Kluyveromyces lactis: one gene and its partner. The protein of the gene in region 1 interacts with the protein of each later gene in a pairwise test. Links are inferred from orthologs where the notes say so. Each region holds a gene or a part of one and is shown on either strand. Other genes may lie near its edges.

The links. The genes of interacting proteins can lie anywhere in the genome.
Region 2: the proteins of PAN3 (region 1) and PAB1 interact in binary tests that used the Saccharomyces cerevisiae proteins (3 or more experiments, as listed by UniProt). The link is inferred for Kluyveromyces lactis from reciprocal best matches to the Saccharomyces cerevisiae genes PAN3 and PAB1.

The regions. Positions count from the first base shown.
Region 1 is NC_006041.1:725,769-729,578, reverse strand, and holds PAN3 (PAN-complex poly(A)-binding subunit PAN3), read right to left. Parts: upstream 2,524-3,810; coding exon 553-2,523; downstream 1-552. Other genes in the region: KLLA0_E08075g (SDR family oxidoreductase), read left to right, coding at 2,787-3,218, 3,328-3,684.
Region 2 is NC_006039.1:1,551,759-1,555,605, forward strand, and holds PAB1 (polyadenylate-binding protein), read left to right. Parts: upstream 1-1,563; coding exon 1,564-3,342; downstream 3,343-3,847. Other genes in the region: chromatin-remodeling ATPase CHD1, read left to right, coding at 1-709. UniProt on the Saccharomyces cerevisiae protein: Binds the poly(A) tail of mRNA. Appears to be an important mediator of the multiple roles of the poly(A) tail in mRNA biogenesis, stability and translation.

The sequences.
Region 1 (3,810 bases):
ATAAAGAAATAGTGCAAAAATACATATGTCGCAATTGTGTGCAAATTTGCGCAGATGTCCGACGAACTAACACGCAAGGTAACATTACCGCTATGTTTAGTGACAAACACTAGACCGAAATGTTTACCATAGTGGGTCTACTCCGAAGCTCATGAAGGCGTATCGAATCGATGCTTGTTTCGCGTTGTGTGCGTATTTACTCTTACTTTCTTGTGTGCATTGTTTAGCTTTTCGTTTTTAGATAAGAAATGTGTTTACGGTTCTGAAATCTGAATGTCGGAAAAGACCGTTGTTAAAGACGTCGTTGAGGTCTGATGTCAGGATTACAAGATTTTACATCAGTAAGTCCCAACGAACTTGGGAAGTTGACGTTCAGGTAGGAAAGCAGTGCCGTTACACGTGATGTGCAGACGCAATAAGGTGTAAAGTTCTATCTATTAAACTTTCCTTTGGGAAGCAAGAGCAAATCGGAAGAAAAGTGGGTAGTAGTATATGTAAGTTTTTTCAGCTGTTTTTGGTGGGTTTGTTATATAATTTTAGTTTATGTTTACATTATTGTGTTAGCGCTCTGAATGTTGAATCGATCAAATCCTTTAGCTCTTTATAACTTATTATGATGCAGTTCATCTCGTCTGGCGTCACAAGCATTAATCTTTCTGATACGCCTGCATCTAGTTTGTTCAAACATCTCAAGACATGTGTCAAATCCATAACATTTTTGCCAGTGTCATCTTTCTGGTGAAACACATAGTCGAAAAATAGTATGATCGGAAACTTTTCTCCAGACTCTGCCCAATTAATGTCGATACGTGATTCTAACCTACCGTAAATTGCATTTAGTTTGCACATCAAACGGAATAATCTTGCATTTTCTAATTCACGTGAAAGTTGCTGCTCTAGGTATTCGCTATTGTATTGTAACGAATTTACCACTGAAAGAACTTTATGGCTGAAAAGTTTGGTGAAGTCCTCTATATTTTTGTTGTTGTTTGATGTATCCTGGAGGTATTGAATACATTTCTTGAATAAAGGATCTATGTGGTAGGACTTTACGTCGTCTAATGGGCCTGATGCACCGCATAGCCTTTGAACAAGGTTTAATAATAACTCGGCAAGTGATAAGTAATTCTGTTGCTGTTCTGTATGTAACATTCTCCCCTCTTGATGGTAATTTAGCGTGTCATAGACACCGATATCAGTTACTTTTATTCTACCTGGTTCACCAGTTACGATAACTTTTTTCCAGTCTAAATCATTAAGAGCTAGTCCATTAGAATGGACTTCTTGAAGTGCAATTGTCAATTGTACCAAAAATGCCCATAAGTACTCTTGATTTAATTCGTTAACTGAATTGGCAAGCCCATAAGTTTCGTACAACGATTGTGATTGAGGGTAGTAATCAAACACCATACACAACGAGCTATCATTGAACGCAGACGTTACAAACGAATCTTTCAAAACAGTGATATTTGCCGAACGCAGGTGACTCCAAGTTTGGAAAGGTTTAGACACTTGGGCAGAATCAGTTATTTTGACGTCATGAATACGGCGCATGAAATAAATCTTACCGTCAAGATTTGAAAACACCTTGTACAAGGAATTCTTGTGACCATTGTACCTTTTCTTATCAGATGTTCTATTATGGAAATCCATGGGGACCAATCCAAAGTAATCACCAACGATATCCGGTAAGGAACCTCTAGGGAACACCTGAAGCGCAGTTTGATTGTTTTTGACTAATCTATCCCTCAAATGGTTGTTAATGAACAAAGTTTCGGGAGTTCGCTCGTTTGGTTTAAGCGGTATTTTCAGGTGTGGTGGTGGATCTGGAGCATATAAGTGATATTGCAATACAGAATGTGTTGGTGGGTACACTGTTGGAAACTGAGTGATAGGATTTACTGGTAATGCACCGGGTGGTGGTGGTGGAGGTAATCCTTGCATGGGATGACCAACTCCTAGCATGCCGCCTGAGGGCAAACCCGCACTATTCACATAAGGATTCGAAGGCACAGGTGATGGGATAGACGGGTTGGAGCCATGTAGTGTCCCTGCCAGTTCCTGTGAGGAAGGGATACCACCTGCTGACACTGATGGAGTAAAACTCTCTGAGGCATACGGATTGAATGACGGAGCAAACGCCGTTGCATTCGAGTTCATAAGGCTAGGACTCATCGTTCCACTGATCTGTGGCCCATCTGCCAACATTGGTTGATCATTGACTGGTGCACCTGGCTGAAATGCAGGAAGCGAAGAGAAGTCTGGACTCCTTACAGCTGGAGATTTTCCTGGCGTAAAACTAGAACTTGTCTTAGCATTGAACTTCACGTTAAGCGGAGTCATTGAGCGCTGCGTTGGGACCTCGTCCGTTGTTTGACCCTCTGTTTCTTTGCTGTTTCCATGATTAAATTGGCATCCTTCGTTTTCAAACTTACAATATCCATGAATGATAATATTTCTACACTGGGTTCCTTTGAAGGAATCAGGCCGGTTCCAGTTAGTGCCTGATGCTGAACTGATCATGCGTGGTCGTGTATCTTGATAATCTCAAGTATATATGGAACTCTCTATCCGCTATAATCCCACAATAATCCTCCGGTTATAATAACGTGAAAATGCCCATGTACGTTATTTACATACATTATGAAAAACCGTTAACTATATAAACTTTCTAATCGCAATTTCTAACCTTTGTACCATGAACGAGAAGGAAAGTGTGACATTGTAAGAAGATAGGTATTAATAACAGCACTAGTTTAAGCCATCGTAGATCCATTATAATTGAAATGTCAAAGGTGTTTTTAGTGACAGGTGTTTCTAGAGGAATTGGTTCTTCCATTGTGGAGAAGTTATGTTCTATTGAGACGACTAAAATCGTAATAGGAATTGCAAGATCAAAGGATAAACTTGAGGAGCTGAAAACTCAATACAGTGGGAAGTTTGATTACATTTGTGGTGACGTGTCTGATGAAGAAACTATAACTGAAGCTGTCAATTTCATTGAGTCGAAATACAAGAGACTAGATGGTATTGTTGCCAATGCGGGAGTTTTGGATCCTGTGGAAGATGTTAATAATATACATATTTCCAAGTGGAAACAGTTGTTTGATATCAATTTCTTCAGTGTTGTTTCCTTGGTCGGCCACGCATTGCCCTTGTTGAAACAGAGTAACGGTAACATCGTACTTGTCAGCTCAGGTGCCAGTACAAAGTCATACGTATGTATACCCTTAAATTTCATTCTAAAACGAAGAAAAGCCGGATTGGCATACGGCAGAACCCGATTTACTAACCAAAATAGTTCCCAAAACTCTACCTGCTTCCAAGGTAATGTGGAAAATATATGATCAGTACGGATGGGGTGCATATGGAGCTTCTAAGGCAGCATTGAACCACTTTGCTGCCACAATTGCAGCAGAAGAGCCAGCTGTTAAAGCAATCTCAGTTGCGCCTGGTGTCGTGAAAACCAAAATGCAAGAGGATATCAGAGAAACCTTTGGACCTAGTGGTATGACAAAGGAAGCCCTGCAACGGTTTGTTGATTTACATGACAATGACCAATTGTTACCTCCAAGCGTTCCCGGTACCATTTATGCCAATTTAGCTTCCAAAGGGATTCCTTCTGAATTGGATGGCGCTTACCTAAGATACAACGACGAAAAATTGAGAAGTTTCTCGGAGTGAATCTATCTCGCTGCCAGTGTTCATTGCAAACGATTTTTCTGTGCGTCTCTTATAACATAGATTGAGAGCTGTTGTTTATTTTATTAATAACAACCGTCGTTAAGTAATTCATTTCAATTTATGATA
Region 2 (3,847 bases), on another chromosome or scaffold:
CGGTGCTGTGCATCTCGGTAGAAGAGTCGATTACTTATTCACTGTCCTAAGAGACGAAGCTAAGGGTCCCCAAACTGATCCATCTCACCCTGCCGGCTCTTCGTCAACCGGAACCACGACGCCTCAGCAAAACAAACGTAAACCAAAGAAGTCTGCTACTACTGCTGGGAACAGCAATGGGAACGAAAATGCCCATACCGCTGGTACCCCAAGTGACGGCAATAGTGTTAACTTAACCGGCAAGGACTCTACACCAGACAATAGCTCCGAAACAAAGCGTGGCAAGGCCCATCACCATCAACAACCATCATCAAGATCTGGTACGCCTGTCGTCGGATCGAAAAAACAGCAGAGGAAAGGTAAAGACATACCGTTGGCACCAAAAGCCGATATCCGTCTTCCTGACAAAGAATACGACAGTATGGACGAAGAAGAGTGTAAGAAAACGATGACAAACGTCCGTAGCTCACTCAAACGTCTAAGATCTGGAGGAGACGGTCTTGAACGTAAGCAATGGGCTAACCTATTGAAGAAGGAATTGAAACGTGTTGGTGACTACATCGAATCGCACAAGAAGGACTCGTCTAAGACCTCTCCAGAAAAATATAAAAGACATTTATGGTCTTTCACTGCATATTACTGGCCAAGAGATGTCCCATCTTCCAAACTCCTGGCGATGTACGACAAAATCAAAGCCTCTGAACATTAATTAGTCAAATGTAACAAAACATAGAGATATATACGCCTATCAATTTACGAAAAAAAAAAAGATATCTAATCAACAACATATTGCTATTAGTTATTATTACCTTCATAAATGACATGAGGCACAAGGGCGCACCAGAAACAGCCGGCTGCTAGTAAAATACCTGGTTTGTTGTGGTGATGCCTCAGATCATTTCGCACGTACCTACCTTTCCTTTTGTGGAAAAGCTTTAAACTCTTTTTCAACTCTTTAAATTTTTCAATGAAAATTTTCACTTTTTGGCTAACTCATCACAACAATTAAGGACTGTTCTCACAGAGATGGATGAATTATATAACGATTTTAAATAAGTTCTTGTGATGTTGTTTCATTTATTTAATTTGTTATAAGTTTTTAGTTATCTTGGTTAGTTTATACTGTTTCGTTTGTTACTTATTTGTATTACCTTTCTGGTTCAGTTATTGTAACATTTTATTTTGTGCAATTTGTTTGTTTAAAAAGACCACGGTCAAAGTCAGCAAACTCTCTAAAGGTATCATCTGTATCCTGTATTTTAATTGTTTTTGGTAAAAGAAAAGAATAAGCGTGGTTTATATCTTTTTAATATTAGTCAAAACATTCCAGTTAGAAGTCTTTTTGAATTCAAGTTAACTAAGGGTTTTTCATTTCCATCCATCGTTAAATCAAAACTTAATAGTTTCATCAAAGGTTCGCAACTGTGTGGGTATTAAACAAAACAATACACTAAAATACACATTAAAAAACCATAAAAAAACATATATTTTAAAAACACATTACAAAACCAACCAACCGCCATCTTTTTCGGTTAAATTTATCTCATCTCATCTCATCTCATAATGTCTGATATTACTGAAAAAACTGCTGAGCAATTGGAAAACTTGCAGATCAACGATGATCAGCAACCAGCTCAATCTGCCAGTGCTCCATCCACTTCTGCTTCTGAAAGCGAAGCTTCTTCTGTTTCTAAGGTTGAAAACAACAACGCTTCATTGTACGTTGGTGAATTGGATCCAAACATTACTGAAGCATTGTTGTACGATGTGTTTTCACCATTGGGTCCAATTTCCTCGATCCGTGTTTGTCGTGATGCCGTCACCAAGGCTTCGTTAGGTTACGCTTACGTTAACTATACTGATTACGAAGCTGGTAAGAAAGCTATTCAAGAATTGAACTATGCTGAAATCAACGGTAGACCATGTAGAATTATGTGGTCCGAACGTGACCCAGCTATCAGAAAGAAGGGTTCTGGTAACATTTTCATCAAGAACTTGCACCCAGCCATTGACAACAAGGCTTTGCATGAAACTTTCTCCACTTTCGGTGAAGTCTTGTCTTGTAAAGTTGCTTTAGATGAGAATGGAAACTCTAGAGGCTTCGGTTTCGTTCATTTCAAGGAAGAATCCGATGCTAAGGATGCTATTGAAGCCGTCAACGGTATGTTGATGAACGGTTTGGAAGTTTACGTTGCCATGCACGTTCCAAAGAAGGACCGTATCTCCAAGTTGGAAGAAGCCAAGGCTAACTTCACCAACATTTACGTCAAGAACATTGACGTTGAAACCACTGACGAAGAGTTCGAACAGTTGTTCTCCCAATACGGTGAAATTGTCTCTGCTGCTTTGGAAAAGGATGCTGAGGGTAAGCCAAAGGGTTTCGGTTTCGTTAACTTTGTTGACCACAACGCCGCTGCCAAGGCCGTTGAAGAGTTGAACGGTAAGGAATTCAAGTCTCAAGCTTTGTACGTTGGCAGAGCTCAAAAGAAGTACGAACGTGCTGAAGAATTGAAGAAACAATACGAACAATACCGTTTGGAAAAATTGGCTAAGTTCCAAGGTGTTAACTTGTTCATCAAGAACTTGGACGATTCCATCGATGACGAAAAATTGAAGGAAGAATTCGCCCCATACGGTACCATCACCTCTGCTAGAGTCATGAGAGACCAAGAGGGTAACTCTAAGGGTTTCGGTTTCGTTTGTTTCTCTTCTCCAGAAGAAGCTACCAAGGCTATGACCGAAAAGAACCAACAAATTGTTGCCGGTAAGCCATTGTACGTTGCCATTGCTCAAAGAAAGGATGTCAGAAGATCCCAATTGGCTCAACAAATTCAAGCCAGAAACCAAATCAGATTCCAACAACAGCAACAACAACAAGCTGCTGCCGCTGCTGCTGGTATGCCAGGCCAATACATGCCACAAATGTTCTATGGTGTTATGGCCCCAAGAGGTTTCCCAGGTCCAAACCCAGGTATGAACGGCCCAATGGGTGCCGGTATTCCAAAGAACGGTATGGTCCCACCACCACAACAATTTGCTGGTAGACCAAACGGTCCAATGTACCAAGGTATGCCACCTCAAAACCAATTCCCAAGACACCAACAACAACACTACATCCAACAACAAAAGCAAAGACAAGCCTTGGGTGAACAATTGTACAAGAAGGTCAGTGCCAAGATTGACGACGAAAACGCCGCTGGTAAGATCACCGGTATGATCTTGGATCTACCACCACAGCAAGTCATCCAATTGTTGGACAACGACGAACAATTTGAACAGCAATTCCAAGAAGCCTTAGCTGCTTACGAAAACTTCAAGAAGGAACAAGAAGCTCAAGCTTAAACTTGATTTTTTGACCTTGATCTTCATCTTGTCCTTTCTATATCTTTCCCCCGAAGAAAAAGAAAAATTAAAAAAAAAAACGAACAGCTAACTATATGAATAGTCTCAGCTTCACGCATTGGAACTGGGTGGTGCTAATTAGCTTACGCATTGTTATAGACCTAAACTAGTCGAAATAAACTACTTTCTGCCACTCTTCTTTTTCTCTCGCTTTTTTTTTTTTTGTTCATCACAGGCTTTCCATTGTTGCCAAAAATGTTGTGCTTTTAATCTTTACCAATAAAAAAAATTACCACGCTCCACATATACCATATTACCACAATCCATCACATCACTCTACCCTTTCTCCATACCGCTAATTCAATCCGGAGGTATGCCCCATTTTTCTCTTCAAATTTTTTCTTACTGATTTTTTCTATCTAACTATTATTGTTACTCTACCCGTTTTATATAATACTAAAGCTCTAATGGGAGGACATTAGTAGTCTTTTTAATGAAGAGGTTT